Oryzias latipes: one gene and its partner. The protein of the gene in region 1 binds, or shares a complex with, the protein of each later gene. Links are inferred from orthologs where the notes say so. Each region holds a gene or a part of one and is shown in the gene's direction. Other genes may lie near its edges.

Region 1 (7,852 bases):
ACAGAGACACCTGATTGGTTAGAATCTGGACCAATCAGCAGCTGTTTGATGGCAGCTTTGTCATGTCAAACTGAAACTTAACTCAGCAAAATCAAAGATAGAAACAAAGTGAGATGACACACAACGCATGCAAAAACCTTTTGGCGGTGGCAATAGTGGCAGTTTTATCACGCTAAGTCGCGCTCAGAGTAGTCAGCAAAATCAAAGATAGGAAAAGTGCGATATTTGACACAACGCACGCAAAAACATGCATTTTGCAAACGCAAAAAACGTTTTTGAAAGCAAAAAGAATTTTGAAAGCTAAAAAAAAGTTTTTTAAAGCAAATAAAAATTGAAAGCAGAAAAAAATCTCAAAGCAGAATCAAAAATTATTGAAAAGCAAATATTTAATATTTTCACTTGCAACTTAGAACTTAGTTTTGTGTGCAACGTGGTGGCAGAAGTATCACTCCATATGCTTTGGCCTTGGCTTTTCAAAATTTCTCTGCTCCAGAAAGTCAAATGCAGTTTTAAAAAGAAGGCTGCGACATGTTGTCCTTGAGGGCTCAGCCACACTCACCTCTGGTATTCCTACTCCATCCCATTCATTCATTCATTCATTCATTCATTCATTCATTCATTCATTCATTCATCCATTTTCTATACCTATTTATTCCCGTTTGGGGTCATGGCGTTGCTGGGGCCTATCCCAGCTACTGTAAAGTAAAGGCAGGGTACACCCTGCACCAGAGGTGTCAAACTCCAGGGGTTGCTGTGAGTAGTGAGTGAGCAGCGGCTGTTTTTCTGTCTGACTGAGCACCGTGTTAATGAAGCATAACTAGGATGTGCAGCAATCACATCAAGACCTGCACCGATACGATGGACGAGTCGTGACCAGACCCTATGAAGACTCTTAAATATAAGCATATCTTAACCGTATGAGTCCTGCAGTTATGTAGAAAAGAACAATTTCAGACGAAGAACATAAAAGCATTTTTGCTGCATCTTCATCTGTCTGATCTGGTTTTGGATGTTGGCAGCTTGTTACATTAAATAGGATTCCATACCTGACCAAGAAGAATAAAGGAAAAAACAAGAGGACAGCATCCTTGAACACTTGTGTACTGATGTGTTGTTTCGGACAGCAAAGGAAATGTTTTTTCAAGGTGAAGAAAAGGATCTCATCCTGGCTGCTATTTAAATCCCAGAAGGACGATACTGTCAATTTAATGAGCTTCACATTGTGAAAAGTCAGAGTTTTTCAAGTTCACTGCAGCTATGATTTGTGCAACTTCTAAACAATTGACAAAATAATTATACTTATGGTGTAGATATTGTGATATGAAGAAATGGCGACTCTTTAAAGACCTCTGTGATGTGAACGACGCACAAGTGGAATCATGTCCACTTTGTTGCCTTAATGTAATAAAAAAAACACAGACAGTATTGTTAAAACATCAATCATGTTAACATCACTCAATACTTTTCTTATAAGGTTTAGCTGAGCTGTAAGTATTGTCTGTCGTTTCAAAGAAAAACAATCTTTGGAACTTAAGCATTTTTGGAGGTACTGTTTTTTAAGGAAACACTGCCACAGGACACTTACTGCTTTCATATAACCGATCATTTAAGTCCTGATTTATTTTTCTGTTAGTACAGAGCAAAACATTTCACAGACACATCTGTTAGATGTCTTAATTGTGGCTATTTCAATGGATATGCATCATATTGACATCAATGCCTAGAGGCCTATCAGACCTTTTAGCAGACGACTTTCACACAGCTAATCATGTCACGGTCCCAAAATATAAACCAGCTGCCATTTTTCTTGATAAATAGGGTAATTATATAACATATAAAATAATACAAAAGGTGCATTAATGGTGGTTTTGTGTTCTTTAGAGGACGTCTTTCAAACTGTCAAGAATGCACCAGAGGACAGTATTCGTAAAGATGCATACAACAAGATTTTCAGTAAAAAAAGAACAATCTGAATGTGTCTAAAAATGGGATTACTTTGGTGAAAGTGACTGTTCAGACTATACTTGTTCAAGCATATATACTGTGGTTAGCAGAGGTTACATGGGTAGAAGCTCAGCCTGGTTTCTAGTTTGATTCCAAAGGACGTGCAAGCATTCAAAGCTACTGGTCAGTCATCACACATTGAGCTGGGGCCCTATGATTTCACAGGCGTTTGACACTGGTGACCCAATTTCAAAAGGTAACCCCTGCACCCACAACCCATCTATGACGTATCAGCCAGGCTTCCCATCTGATCCAGATGCTTTCTGGACAAGAGAGGCCCTTCATCAGTCCCAGGACGACCAAAGGTGGTTTAACATGTCACAGCTTGAAGGTTTCTTCATCTTCATCTCTGCCATTAGTCACCTTCCTCGCTGCATTCTGCACAGTGTCCTGGAAGATGTCAAATGACCAATTTTCCGACCTCGCTTGAGATATAAAGATGTTTTTAAAAGAGATATGAAGGACTTCCAGATAGATCCTGCTACTTGGACTGCTACTGAAGCGACAGAGGGAGATGGGACACCACCTTAAAGAGAGGTATCAAAGTTGTTGTATCAGACAGATTCTAGAAATTCTACTATGGAAAAACGTTTAATTTATTTTGGAAAACCCTGAGTCTGGGGGATCTGCTTCATAGGTTGGGAAGACTTAGTCTAAAGTAGGTATGGATGACCAACGCAAAGGAGAAATGCTTTTATAAACAATACACTGTTTTTGTTTTTTAACAATGGAAATGTACAAGGAAGGAAGCCAACATTCTCTACACCATTCCGCCACCTGCTGGATGCGGGCATTCATTACAGGACACTTGTTCAAGCAGCTGCAGGGACTAACTGCGTCCACTAGGAGGCGCGCAACACCGACAGTTGTCTGCAGGCAAAGATGGCGGTGCGGAAGAAAGACGGCGGCCCGAATGTTAAATATTTCGAAGCATCTGACACCGTTTCTCAGTTTGATAATGTCCGCGTCTGGTTGGGAAAGAATTACAAAAAGGTACTGTGGGCTTGTTTTTGTGCGCATGCTCACAGAGTTCTCCTTTTCACCCTCAAATGTGGGCACTTACCCAGTGGGCAGAGGCAGTGACAAAGAGAGGAGGGAGGGTGCTGCTGCTGCTGCTGCTGCCGCTCAGCGTCCAGCTGTTTGGGATACAAAAGGATGCTGAGCAAACAGCTGCAGCACAAGCGCGCGCTTCAGGCGTTCTGCGGATACACGTGACTGCAGATAAACTGCCACAAAGGCAGCGCGCGACTCTTACTCGGTGGACGGATTTGTTTTCTATAAAGAAAATACATGACTTTAGCCTGCTAGCTGGCTAGTTAGCTGCTCGGCTAACGGTGAAGCAGCGCAGATCCAGATGTTGGCTCAGAGGCACGTCTGTCTTGAATAACAGCTGGCGGGCCTCAACTAGGAGCTCTGACTTGACGAAGACCTCTCAAGTACTAATCATGAAGTAGACTGTTATTATTATTATTATTTTTACAAATATTTGAATGATTGATGTTTTTAATTAGAGCTCTTTTTCATGGGTGAAAATAAAAGCACTGACATTTCCAGAGTTTACGTGAATGCGGCATATCAGCCATAGAACTATGTCTACCAGAAATGCTGTGTTTTAGTGTTTGGTGTATTCCTAACTTTGCGTTTTGTGTCCAGTACATCCAGGCTGAGCCTCCCACCAACAAGTCTCTGTCCAGCCTGGTGGTCCAGCTGCTGCAGTTCCAAGAGGAGGTGTTTGGCAGACATGTCAGCAACCCCCCACTCACCAAGCTGCCGGTATTTGCTTCTCAATACTCATCATCTTCCTCAATGTAATGATGCTTCACTTTTTGTCCTCTGTAACCTATTATTTGAAGCATTTTCCCTCTTTCTGCAGATGAAATGTTTTCTGGACTTTAAGTCTGGGGGGGCTCTGTGTCACATCCTGGCTGCAGCCTACAAGTTCAAAAGTGATCAAGGATGGTAGGGGCTTCTTTCTAGCGGATGTTTTGAGGATTAGACCTGTTAATCCAGTGAAGAATCAAAGGTCTCAACTGGATTTTGGCCGGGTTTGAGTTTCGTGTGTAACTCCAGTCTAATTTCCTGGTAGGCGCAGGTTTGACTTCCAGAATCCATCGAGGATGGACCGAAACGTTGAGATGTTTATGACGATTGAAAAATCTCTGGTGCAGGTGAGTTTGTTTCAGCAATCGTTCTTCATGAATAGTTACCTTCTACACAACTTGCAAAAGTGTTTATTTTCTAATATCTTCAAATCTCTAAATTATTATTATTATTATTAAAAACTGTCAATTATTTACCTTTTACAATTAGGTTTAATTTAGAATTAAGGATTTGATTCAGTTTGAATGAAACTATTTATGTGTATTTATATTCAGAAAAACGATCCACGTTTATTGTTTTTTATGCAAGTCTGAATTAATGATAAAAAAAACATTGAGAGATTTCATGTTTTTGTTTGGTGGCTTCAGAATTTTTGAATATTTGCAGAACCAGTTTGTTTATTCTTTAAAGTTCCACTCCAATGAAAATTGTGTTGTAGTTGTTTTTTTACATGTTCTTGTGGCATTTTTCTGATGATGGAGCACATAGATAAAGAAAATTGAGATTAAAATTGAATATTTCTTTACTCCAATATTTGTAAAATACAAAAAAAAAAAAAGCAGTTCGAAAAAGATCTTGTTTGTGACGTAGAAAATATGCTGGCTGGGTCAAAATCTTCCTGCTTTGCTCCATTCTGATGCATCCACCTGCAGACAAATAGACCCATGAACGTCTTTGTTCTCCTCGCCTGAGCTGGAATCTGGATCAAAACTGGATGGCTGGATAGCTCTGATGTTGCTCACCATTTTTGTTGCACTGATAATGTTAGGTTTGGCTATAAGGGGCTGAAAGCTAGCAGGAGAGAGTGTAAACAAAGGGATGATGGGAAGTAGAGGCAGGCTTACTCCCTACAACTCAGATGTAAATTTTTAATGAACTCCTGCCGCTCTGCTGAAACTATGTCCTAAAAAAATGACACTTGTTTTTAGATTTTGGCCAAAAGGTGCATCATCATAATTAGAAGACCGCTGGGAACGCTTTGAAAATACATCAGAAGATGATCGGAGCAGGATTTTAATGACAAAATCTTTGTGATGTGACTTTCGTTGTCCAACCCAAGGACTTCAGGGCTCGTGCAGTGTCTTTATTTGCAGAAGCAGAGATGTTATGCTGAGAGGAAAACAGCATTTACATTGTAATGGTCATGTGTTTTTTAAATGTACTCCTTCCAGAACCACTGTCTGTCACGACCAGTCATCTACCTGAGCTCTGACATCGATCCAAAGCTGCTGGGGAAACTGAAAGACATCATCAAAAGGCATCAGGTGTGTTTGTCATGTGAATGTTATGCCATACACCTCAAGTAGGTGTTGCTTCATTTTTAGGGCTCCTATGGGTTTAAACCTGTGAATACATATGATTTACACTCTTTTCCTGATTTGCAGGGCTCAGTGGCGGAGGACAAATCAAACAGCTCCCATATTGTGGTTCCCATCCCTGCCAGTCTAGAAGAAGGTGAGGACTTGGAACTGGACTGCTGGATGGATGTTTCTTCTTCAACATGCTATTCTAACTCCAACCCCTTTTTTATCTTTCAGAGGAATGGGTGCGTCCTGTGATGAAGAGAGATAAACAAGTTCTCCTCCACTGGGGATATTTTCCAGACAGGTTGGGTTTTTTGTTGATGCTCGTGAGCCGGTACCTCCATGAAATGCACCTGAAAACTCCTTCTGTTACATTTGAAGTTAATCTGAGTCCATGACTGGAGCCGTTACCTGCATAAACACTAAAGTATCACGTCTAACTAAGCTCTGCACTGATCTCATTTGGTAATAATTGCAGTGTGTCTTAAACAGAAAGTGATTATCACATTGTGTATCTTACTTAACATTTCTGGACAACAAAGGAAACAGTCTACCTGTGTTTTTCTCCAAACGGCGTGATTGGATTGGAATTTTCTTCCTCCCACTGTGCAGTTATGACACCTGGATTCCAGCCAGTGAAATCGAGGCTGCAGTGGAGGATCCTCCAACTCCAGAGAAGCCCAGGAAGGTATTTTTTTTTATCTTTCTTTGAGTTCTTCATCTCATTTTTTAACATGTTAATAAATAATCTTGATTTGTGCTAAAAGGTGAAGTGTTTTTAGAAATGTAATCATCTTAAAACGATCATGGTGTTCACGTTACATCAGCATGCAGGCAGAGAGGTGTTCAGTCAGAAACCAGCTGTGCCAGCTCTCCTACTTCAGCAGCTGAGTTTGGTCAGTAATGTTCATCATAGCTTCACTTCAACTGTGAGAGACAGAATGGAAAAAAAACCTAAAAGAATCCAAGAAACCACATGATTTGATCTATAGTGAAATATTAGGTAAATTCCCCTGTAAAATACATATTTATCTCATACAAGCAAACAGCAATTCTGTTCTTCGCAGACTTGTTACTTCCTCTTTAAGAAGCTCTTCTGTCCTACGCTGGCTACCTGTATTAAGGGCTCCTGTTTGAACTGGTTATCTGTAGAAAAGACATTTGTCCACAACCTCCAAACTCTACTATGGCCAAGACCAAACGGCTGTTAAAGGACACAAGAAACTAAATTGTAGATCTCCACCAGGCTGGGACAGCTCAGTGTGAAGACATCAACTGTAGGAGCAATAATTAGAAGATGGAAGACATGTACTGAGAATCTCCCTCCATCTGGGGCTCCATGTAAGATCCCACCCCATAGGATCAAATCATCACAAGAATTGTGAGCAGAAATCCCAGAACCACTTGGGGGACTTAATAAAAGATCTGCAGAGAGCTGGGACCAAAGTAACAAAGGCTACCATCAGTAACACACGCCGCCGCCAGGGACTCAAACCCTGCAGGGCCAGACGTGTCCCCCTGCTAAAGCTGGTACATGTGCAGGCCCGTCTAAAGTTTGCTAGAGCATAGGGACAAGTACAAGTGATCCGTGTAAAGCAATAAGGAATGGATCTAGACACACGGGCCACTTCAATAGCAACAGCTGTTCAACAGCTTGTTAACGCAACTTTCTAATCAGCCAATCACATGGCAGCAACTCATGTGTAGACATGGTTCAGACGATCTGCTGCAGTTCAAACCAGCATCAGAATGGAGAAGAAAGGTGATTGAAATGACTTTGAACGTGGCATGGTTGTTGGTGCCAGACGGGCTGGTCTGAGGATTTAAGAAACTGCTGATCTGCTGGGATTTTCACCCACAACCATCTCTGGGGTTTACAGACAATGGTCCAAAAAAGAGGAAAATGTCCAGTGACCAGTGTTAGACAACAGAAGATTGTAAAACCGTTGTGTGGTCTGATGAGTCTCCATTTCTGCTGCCACATTGGGATGGTCGGGTCAGAATTTGGCATCAACAACATGAAAGCATGGATCCATCCTGCCTTCTATCAACGCGTCAGGGTGGTGGGGGTGTCATGGTGTGGGGGATATTTTCTTGGCACACTTTGCGTACCTTAGTACCAACTGAGCATGGTTCCAACACCACAGCCTACCTGAGTATTGTTGCTGACCATGTCCATGCCTTTATGACCACAGAGAACCATCTTCAGATGCTACTTCCAGCAGGATAAGGCAGCTTGTCATAAAGCTGGAATCATCAGACTGGTTTCTAGAACATGATAGTGAGTTCTCTGGACTCAAACGGCCTCCACACTCACCAGAACCCATTAGAGAACTTTTGGGATGTGGTGGAACGGAACAGGAGATCTGCATCATGGATGTTCAGCCAACAAATCTGCAGCAACTGATGCTGTCATGTCAACATGGACCAAACTCTCTGAGGAA
Region 2 (7,596 bases), on another chromosome or scaffold:
CACACTGTGCTGCTTGGTTTGATTCCTTGAATGCTCTGTTTCTTTTTTGCAAGTGTGGAAAGTTGTCTGAGCTTTGGTGTGAACCTATGATTGCATTAAAAATGGAGCATCGCAGTAGAAATGTCAGTTTTTCCGCTTCATCATCATCCTCACCTCCATCCACCCATCTTCAGAACCCTATGAATCCCTGTAGGAATCACGGGGCTGCTGGAAACAACCCAATGTTGGGCGAAAGCGGGTACACCCTGAAGAGGTGGCCAGTCTGTTGCAGGGACAAGACAAGACAAACAGCTGATGGTTGGATCACAACTGGTTGCATATGACAATCACCTGTCAATCGAACAGTCAAAAATAAAAAAAAAGCTGCATAAGAATTCAATTACAGTGGTCATGAATATTATATCTAACCACAGAGCTAAAGAAAAAACATACCAAGACAGTTTTTTTTCTGTTGATGGGTGGTCATTCTACATTGAAGTGAATGGGGTCTGACTGGTTTGTTTTACGTGTCAGCTAGTGCTTTCTTGGTGAACTGATCTGGCTCATTTTTTTACTCTGACCTCATCTGAGAATTGTTCAAAACAAATGCACGATATTTAATACTGCTGATAAGAAGGATTCGCTTCACTTGCAGGTGAACCCTGGTGTGGCAATAGTGTTAATGAAAACAAACTACTCGGCAGTAAAAGTATGTGACATGAATAAAAAAAAATCACAAACTGGAAGAAGATCAGATCATGAAAGAATTGTAAGAATGTCCCATTGTACGATGTGTTGTGGTAAAGTGGTGAAGTCACTTATCAATCCATGATGGTCAGAGAACTAGCAGGACTGGTTTTCTTTTCTTTGTTTTTTTTTATTTCCTTCATCCTGGTACTGCCCACTTCTGGCCTTCAAACAAAGTCAAGTATTTTTTTTATGCAAAAGCAGATCAAATTTAGAAGGTAACATCATCTGCCCATTTGAATCATGTCTGTAGAACTATCTTAGTATGAACTTGCCATAATGCTTCATAAGAAGTGATTGCAAATCACCTACCACACAGCTGGATGAGCTGGAACTCTGACACATACATTCATTCACCTGCAATCACGTAAGGAGCCTACTACGAAGGGACACTCCTGTGAGGCAGGATTACATCCTTTCCCAGCCAACCCCTGTCTGTGTTTTTCCAGTTTCAGCAGTCAGTCCTTCCAGTGTGCTCTTAACTTTACCAGAACCCGCCCTCCCAGAATACTGACAAATAGAAATAAAAATGTGTTTTAGATGGACGCACCTTGAATGGGTTACAGATTTCATTACAGGCCTGTAAATAAGTAAATGCAGTGAGTTGGCCTTTGATCGACAAGAACGATTCATTCCATATGAGATTGTTTTTTATGAGAGATTTAAAACTCTTACATAAAGAATTATTTACATACAACTCTCGAGAGAGAACTGTTTCACCCCACAAGCAGAAGCTTTTATTTCAGCGGGTTAATAAAACAAAACAAAAATGGACATTTAAAAGTTAGGTCTGCTGATCAGAAATGCAAGAATCTGCTAATTCAGAAGGAAATGAAGCATGTTTTGTTTGAAACTTGATTAAAAAGCTGAAACGTTTCCATGTATAAAGTGGAAATGTGTTGATGAAAATAAAGACCATTTAAAACTTAAAGCCACGAATGAATTGAAGGAAGAGGAGATGGCATTTAGCATAAAAGAATTGGTGTAACTGAGAGCGAGGAAGAGGAAGTGGTACAAGAGGAAGAAAAGTAGTTGCTGCTTGTGTCTCGCAGACAGTGACATGTTTAAATGGCCTCTGGGTTATTTAACTTGTATGGGCAGCTATGTTTCTGGAGCAAAAAAAGTTTAAATAAACTGTGAAACTAATGAATGGAAGACAAGTAAGGTAAAAGCAAAGAACCCTAAGCCTATAAAACCCAAAGTCAGGAAAGTTACACCCTTTGCAGTAAACCACAGAGAGGAAATAAGAGCATGTGTGACTTTATTTGTCTCTCTCTGAGTTTAATCGATTAAGGTGAATGTATAGTAGCGTATGGGTTGGGTCTGACAGTGGTTATTTTCACTCAATAGGTCATTTATGACTAAAAGTAGATGCAAGTCAGCCTTAGTGTCCTCTTATGTGGACCTTTTTTCTTCATTTGTAGGGGAAAGAGGAAGTAGCAAGAGCTCTGAGAAGTTAACAAGAATCCAGACTAATGCCATACATGGTCAATTGGTATTAGTGAGATTGAGTTTTTACCATTGCTTAGTGGGAAAAGTGGTTATTGTCCATCCTCTGACAGGGCACTTTTACAGTCCATAGTGTCTTTTGTGAGTCATGTGTTTGGCTTGGAGGGTCTCTGACTCCATCTGAGGTGGCATTCTGCTTTCCAGAGTGTGCAGCAACATCCACATTGTAATTGTCCTCAAATTGCATCAAACATATCTTGCATTTCCAGACTGAAATCTTGAGAGACAGGTTTTAAGAGGAAAAGTATTCACAGGGAGGAGCAGCCTGTGCTCTGCTGTTTGAATGATCAGATAAGCAGGGGGACTTGCTCGAAAGCTTTATACAGGTTCATATTTTATATATATTTGAAACTTTGTAAACTCTATATGTATTAATATTTGTTCAAGAAACATTATATCCTTAGATTAGGCCTCACATCAATCCCTATCCTTTTATTTTCCCCCAGCCCGTTACTGTTATCGCCTCCCTCTTTCTACGCTCAGTGCACCACAGCGTGCACCCGACGTGCCCCAGTGAGTGACGCTGGACCAATCACATGCCGCGATTCCGAAAGTTTACCTTTTATGGAAAGAGCCGGGCAACGGACGGACTATAAATACCACGTGCCCACGGCTAGCAAATTCACTCTGAGCGCCGTCACACACAGCTTGTGCGGGATATCATTCGCCTGAAACCGATTCCCTTGAAACGAAAAGCCCCCCACCCAAAGGTAAGATAGAGACGATATTTGGTTTAATTCAAATGTTTTGGAAACCTTACGATTGTTTAATTGTGCAGTTTAATTCTTAATTGGAGGTGACCATTAGCAGAATTTTGTGGCCACTAAATTTATTTTTAGGCCTGAAATGGTTAAACTTTTAATTATCTTTTTAAAATTGACAATTTTGTTTGTTTTGGCATCAATCAAGTTGTACCAAAATTAGCCACTTAAACGCACAGGTGCCAATTGATTGTAACCGGCAAATGGCTTTTCAGTTTGGTTTTAATTGTATATTTTATATAAGCAACTAAATAAAAATTACTATTCGTATCTTACATGGTGGGGGGAATTTTTCGAGTCCTTCTACGGACGTTACCCGTCCGAGTTGAGGGTGTCTGGATCCTGGCGGGTCCCTTTGTGCGCCGTTACGGGGTGTGACCTACTTTAGCATATTAGCCTAGCTTCATGCTAACACGCCCTTCTAGACTTGACTCTGATTCCTCACATGTAGGGGGGTGGGACTGTTATACATTTGTTTGTATAAAATGTAATAACCCTTAAAGCATTTTAAAAGTATTCGATTAAATTGAGCATGTAACTGTAGTTTGACGGCGAAGAAAAGGGCAAATGACAAATCATTCATTCAAGAAAAGGCGTGGCTTTCAGGAAATGATTAATCAGTCATGGGCTCGCACACGTTTTAATTTCCTTCTAAAGCTTGACGGGTCGTGGTGCTTTATGCCAGCAACGACTTCGCACAAATTATGACGCAGTGATTAAGAAATTTTTCAGTCTTGTGCAACAATGGGAGGGAACGCTGACAAAGTAGAGCTGTAATGAACCAGTGGGAGTAGGCTTTCGTCGCCGGGTCCGATAGTCTAAAGTCCCTCCCCTCTTGCTGTACTTTGGCCGCGTGCCTTGCCGGTAGCCGCAAAGCTGCTCAAAACCGAACTATGTCCTTATATGGTAACAAGAGAATGCAGCACCACTTCCTTTTGTCTGGGCTCGGAATGTAGCGCTCTACCTCCACCAAGCGGACACTTTGGGGAACTGCCGCTCCCTGACAGGAAATGGGACATCTGACTGCAAAGCAGATGCAGATGGGCGTGTCTTTGGTGTTAACGCCTTATTTGTTTGTTTTCCAGTTTAGCCATGGATGATGACATTGCCGCACTGGTTGTTGACAACGGATCTGGCATGTGCAAAGCCGGATTCGCTGGAGACGATGCCCCTCGTGCTGTCTTTCCCTCCATCGTTGGTCGCCCCAGGCACCAGGTTAGTTCCTAACTGTTTACCTTTATAATTTTTTACTATTTAATTTTAAAAGTTTCCAGATTTACTAAATGTAAATTTAAACTTTTTTTCAGGGTGTCATGGTGGGTATGGGCCAGAAAGACAGCTACGTAGGTGATGAAGCCCAGAGCAAGAGGGGTATCCTGACCCTGAAGTATCCCATTGAGCACGGTATTGTTACCAACTGGGATGACATGGAGAAGATCTGGCACCACACCTTCTACAATGAGCTGAGAATTGCCCCTGAGGAGCACCCTGTCCTGCTCACTGAAGCCCCCCTGAACCCCAAAGCCAACAGGGAGAAGATGACCCAGGTACCCGTTTACCTCACAGTGGAGCACATGTATACTCTTTTCACCTTGGTTTCCTTCTGTTCATACTTCCTCCATCCTCCTCTTCTAGGATTTCTTCCTATAAGATGAGCTTTCATCAAAAGGTCTATTGACAGTTTGCCTTGTATCTGCACTTGTGTTTTGAGGCTTAGAGTAACAGATCAGCACCTAAAAATGACATGCACAAGTGTGAAGGAATGTTTACCATGTACTAACTATAGATCGAGCCCCACTTTAATGCATGTAGCGAGTGGAGTGGTCGCATTGCTGCTTTGTAACATGCTAACATTGTGCTTTTTGTCTCTGCAGATCATGTTTGAGACCTTCAACAGCCCTGCCATGTACGTTGCCATCCAGGCTGTGCTGTCCCTGTATGCCTCTGGTCGTACCACTGGTATCGTCATGGACTCTGGTGATGGTGTGACCCACACAGTGCCCATCTACGAGGGCTACGCTCTGCCCCACGCCATCCTGCGTCTGGACTTGGCCGGCCGCGACCTTACAGACTACCTCATGAAGATCCTGACGGAGCGTGGCTACTCCTTCACCACCACAGCCGAGAGGGAAATTGTCCGTGACATCAAGGAGAAGCTGTGCTACGTCGCCCTGGACTTCGAGCAGGAGATGGGCACCGCTGCCTCCTCTTCCTCCCTGGAGAAGAGCTATGAGCTGCCTGACGGACAGGTCATCACCATTGGCAATGAGAGGTTCCGTTGCCCAGAGGCCCTCTTCCAGCCTTCCTTCCTTGGTAGGTACCTCAACCAAAGACTTGTGTACAGACCCCAGAGTGCCCCATGCTAATATTTAATCTCCTTCCAGGTATGGAGTCCTGCGGTATCCATGAGACCACCTACAACAGCATCATGAAGTGTGATGTTGATATCCGTAAGGATCTGTACGCCAACACTGTGCTGTCTGGAGGTACCACCATGTACCCTGGAATCGCAGACAGAATGCAGAAGGAGATCACAGCCCTGGCCCCATCCACCATGAAGATCAAGGTGAGCTTTCTGAAGAGTCTCCCGTCTGGATTGTTCCTTTGGGGAAAAGGGGCTCATTCTCAACTCTCCTCCTCTCCCTACAGATCATTGCCCCACCAGAGCGTAAATACTCTGTCTGGATTGGAGGCTCCATCCTGGCCTCTCTGTCCACCTTCCAGCAGATGTGGATCAGCAAGCAGGAGTACGATGAGTCTGGCCCCTCCATCGTCCACCGCAAATGCTTCTAAACAGACTTTCTCCTCCCCAGCCAAACACCCAACAACTTCAGCTCTGTTCAAAACCACACCACACATTTCTCGCTCACTCAGGCGCAGGGCCTAGACGACCAACTCATTGGCATGGCTTCAGTTATTTTTGGCGCTTGACTCAGGATTTAAAAAAAAAACTGGAACAATGAAGGAGATAATGTTTTTGCTTTTTGGCTAGGTTTAAACACCCCAGGCATCTGCAGTTGCATCTGGGGCTTAAATGTACATTTTGTTCTTTAAGTCATTCCAAATGTTTGTTGACTGCATCGTTCAAACATGATTCCAAATGTAAACTGCATTGTTCAGACACGTATTTGCCTCTGTGAAGGCTGCCCAGTGGTTGAGCATACTTAAACATGGTTGTAGTATTGCTTGTATGTAAATTTTGTCTGGGGTTTTTTGTACTTTCAGCCTTAAATCTTGGTCCTGTTCAAATTTTTTTCTTTTGTTATGCAAAACCCAACCATGACCTTCTTCCCCCTGTTGGAGGTTCATCTCTGGGGAGGTGCGGTAAGGGGTCTTCATGACGGGCGTAACATGGGGTGCCAGACCAGTGGGGCCAAACCTGTACACTGACTAAACAATCCCAATAAAGTGCACATGTGTTCCGACTTGATGTCTGCATCTGTTTGGTCTCTTTATTTTTAAGCAGTAACACACTGAGTGACTGCATCTGAAATCTGATCTTTACCAACTAGTGCAATTGGCAGTTTAAACAAGGATTTACATCCACAATAAGTACCTATTAAAGCTTTTCCATTGTTTCTTTAAAGCTTAAACCTTAGGTCATACAAACTACAGGAGTACAAAATGAAAACTGCATTTACCTGAGGATTTATTGTGAATCCAGGGGTAATGAAGTGGCAGTTCAACTAAAACTAAAGCTGTACAGTTTTAACTATTGAAGTTAAACAGGAGGAAAGTGACTAAATACCCAATCGCTTTACAAAGAAACTTGTGGGTATAAAGCGGCAACCCAGCTCGGTCAAAAGCTTGAACAAACCCCAAACTTAATATTTGTGGCACAATTGCTCAGCATGTTGCTGTGATGTGGCACTCCTAGCTCCCCTTATAAAACTGCTTCGCAAGAGGCTGACCTGCGTTCAGGTGGCATTAAAAGTGGACTACCCTGCCCTGATCCATCGCCCTGCACTGTTTTCTTGCCTAATGTGATCAGCTGCAGGAAATGCAAGTTGAGCTGGAGGATCAATTGGGTGGTGCTGCATTAAAAAAACATTAAAATGAGCTGTTGGATACACATGTTGCTGCAGAATCTTGAATCTGGAAGACCTGAATGCATAGAGCAAAACCTCCTGCAGTAGTTGCAAATACTCATGGATGTATGAATGCATGGCCAGAGACTGAACTGTTTTCACTTCATTTCCCCCTTCTTCAGATGCACATAAAAACCGTTATTCTGCTGAGACAATTTCCTGCTATTTACTGCCATGCCAGCAAAAAAATTCCCAGTGCTTGTGAGTCCCCAAATTCCATGTATTCTCCGAGTTATGTTTCCTTCACTAAGGCTGTTGGAGAATGATTTGGTTATTTATTTTATGTCCTAAACATGTTTGAGTCTCCCACTTCATTTACTCACGTGGACCGTGCTCTCATGCGAGCAGTTCTCCGTTCTCTCCAGCAGATGGGGCTGCTGTGCCACACGACTCTGTCTCGTGTTGAGTGGGTGAAAGGCAAATAGAGGACTACCACAGCTGACAGAAAGAGGCCAGCAGAGAGTCATGGATCATTTTACACCCCGCCTCCTGCAGGCTGAGGCTGGTGCATC

The links.
Region 2: smarcc2 (region 1) and actb share a complex: the UniProt entries of both Homo sapiens proteins name them as parts of the BAF complex. The link is inferred for Oryzias latipes from reciprocal best matches to the Homo sapiens genes SMARCC2 and ACTB.

What each region holds. Positions count from the first base shown.
Region 1 is NC_019863.2:4,302,129-4,309,980, reverse strand, and holds the start of smarcc2 (SWI/SNF complex subunit SMARCC2), read left to right. Parts: upstream 1-2,851; 5' UTR 2,852-2,886; coding exon 2,887-2,997; intron 2,998-3,657; coding exon 3,658-3,777; intron 3,778-3,877; coding exon 3,878-3,963; intron 3,964-4,090; coding exon 4,091-4,172; intron 4,173-5,276; coding exon 5,277-5,369; intron 5,370-5,489; coding exon 5,490-5,559; intron 5,560-5,642; coding exon 5,643-5,712; intron 5,713-6,020; coding exon 6,021-6,096; intron 6,097-7,852. UniProt on the Homo sapiens protein: Involved in transcriptional activation and repression of select genes by chromatin remodeling (alteration of DNA-nucleosome topology).
Region 2 is NC_019866.2:19,165,200-19,172,795, forward strand, and holds actb (actin, cytoplasmic 1), read left to right. Parts: upstream 1-2,876; 5' UTR 2,877-2,945; intron 2,946-4,081; 5' UTR 4,082-4,088; coding exon 4,089-4,211; intron 4,212-4,303; coding exon 4,304-4,543; intron 4,544-4,870; coding exon 4,871-5,309; intron 5,310-5,380; coding exon 5,381-5,562; intron 5,563-5,645; coding exon 5,646-5,789; 3' UTR 5,790-6,425; downstream 6,426-7,596. UniProt on the Homo sapiens protein: Actin is a highly conserved protein that polymerizes to produce filaments that form cross-linked networks in the cytoplasm of cells.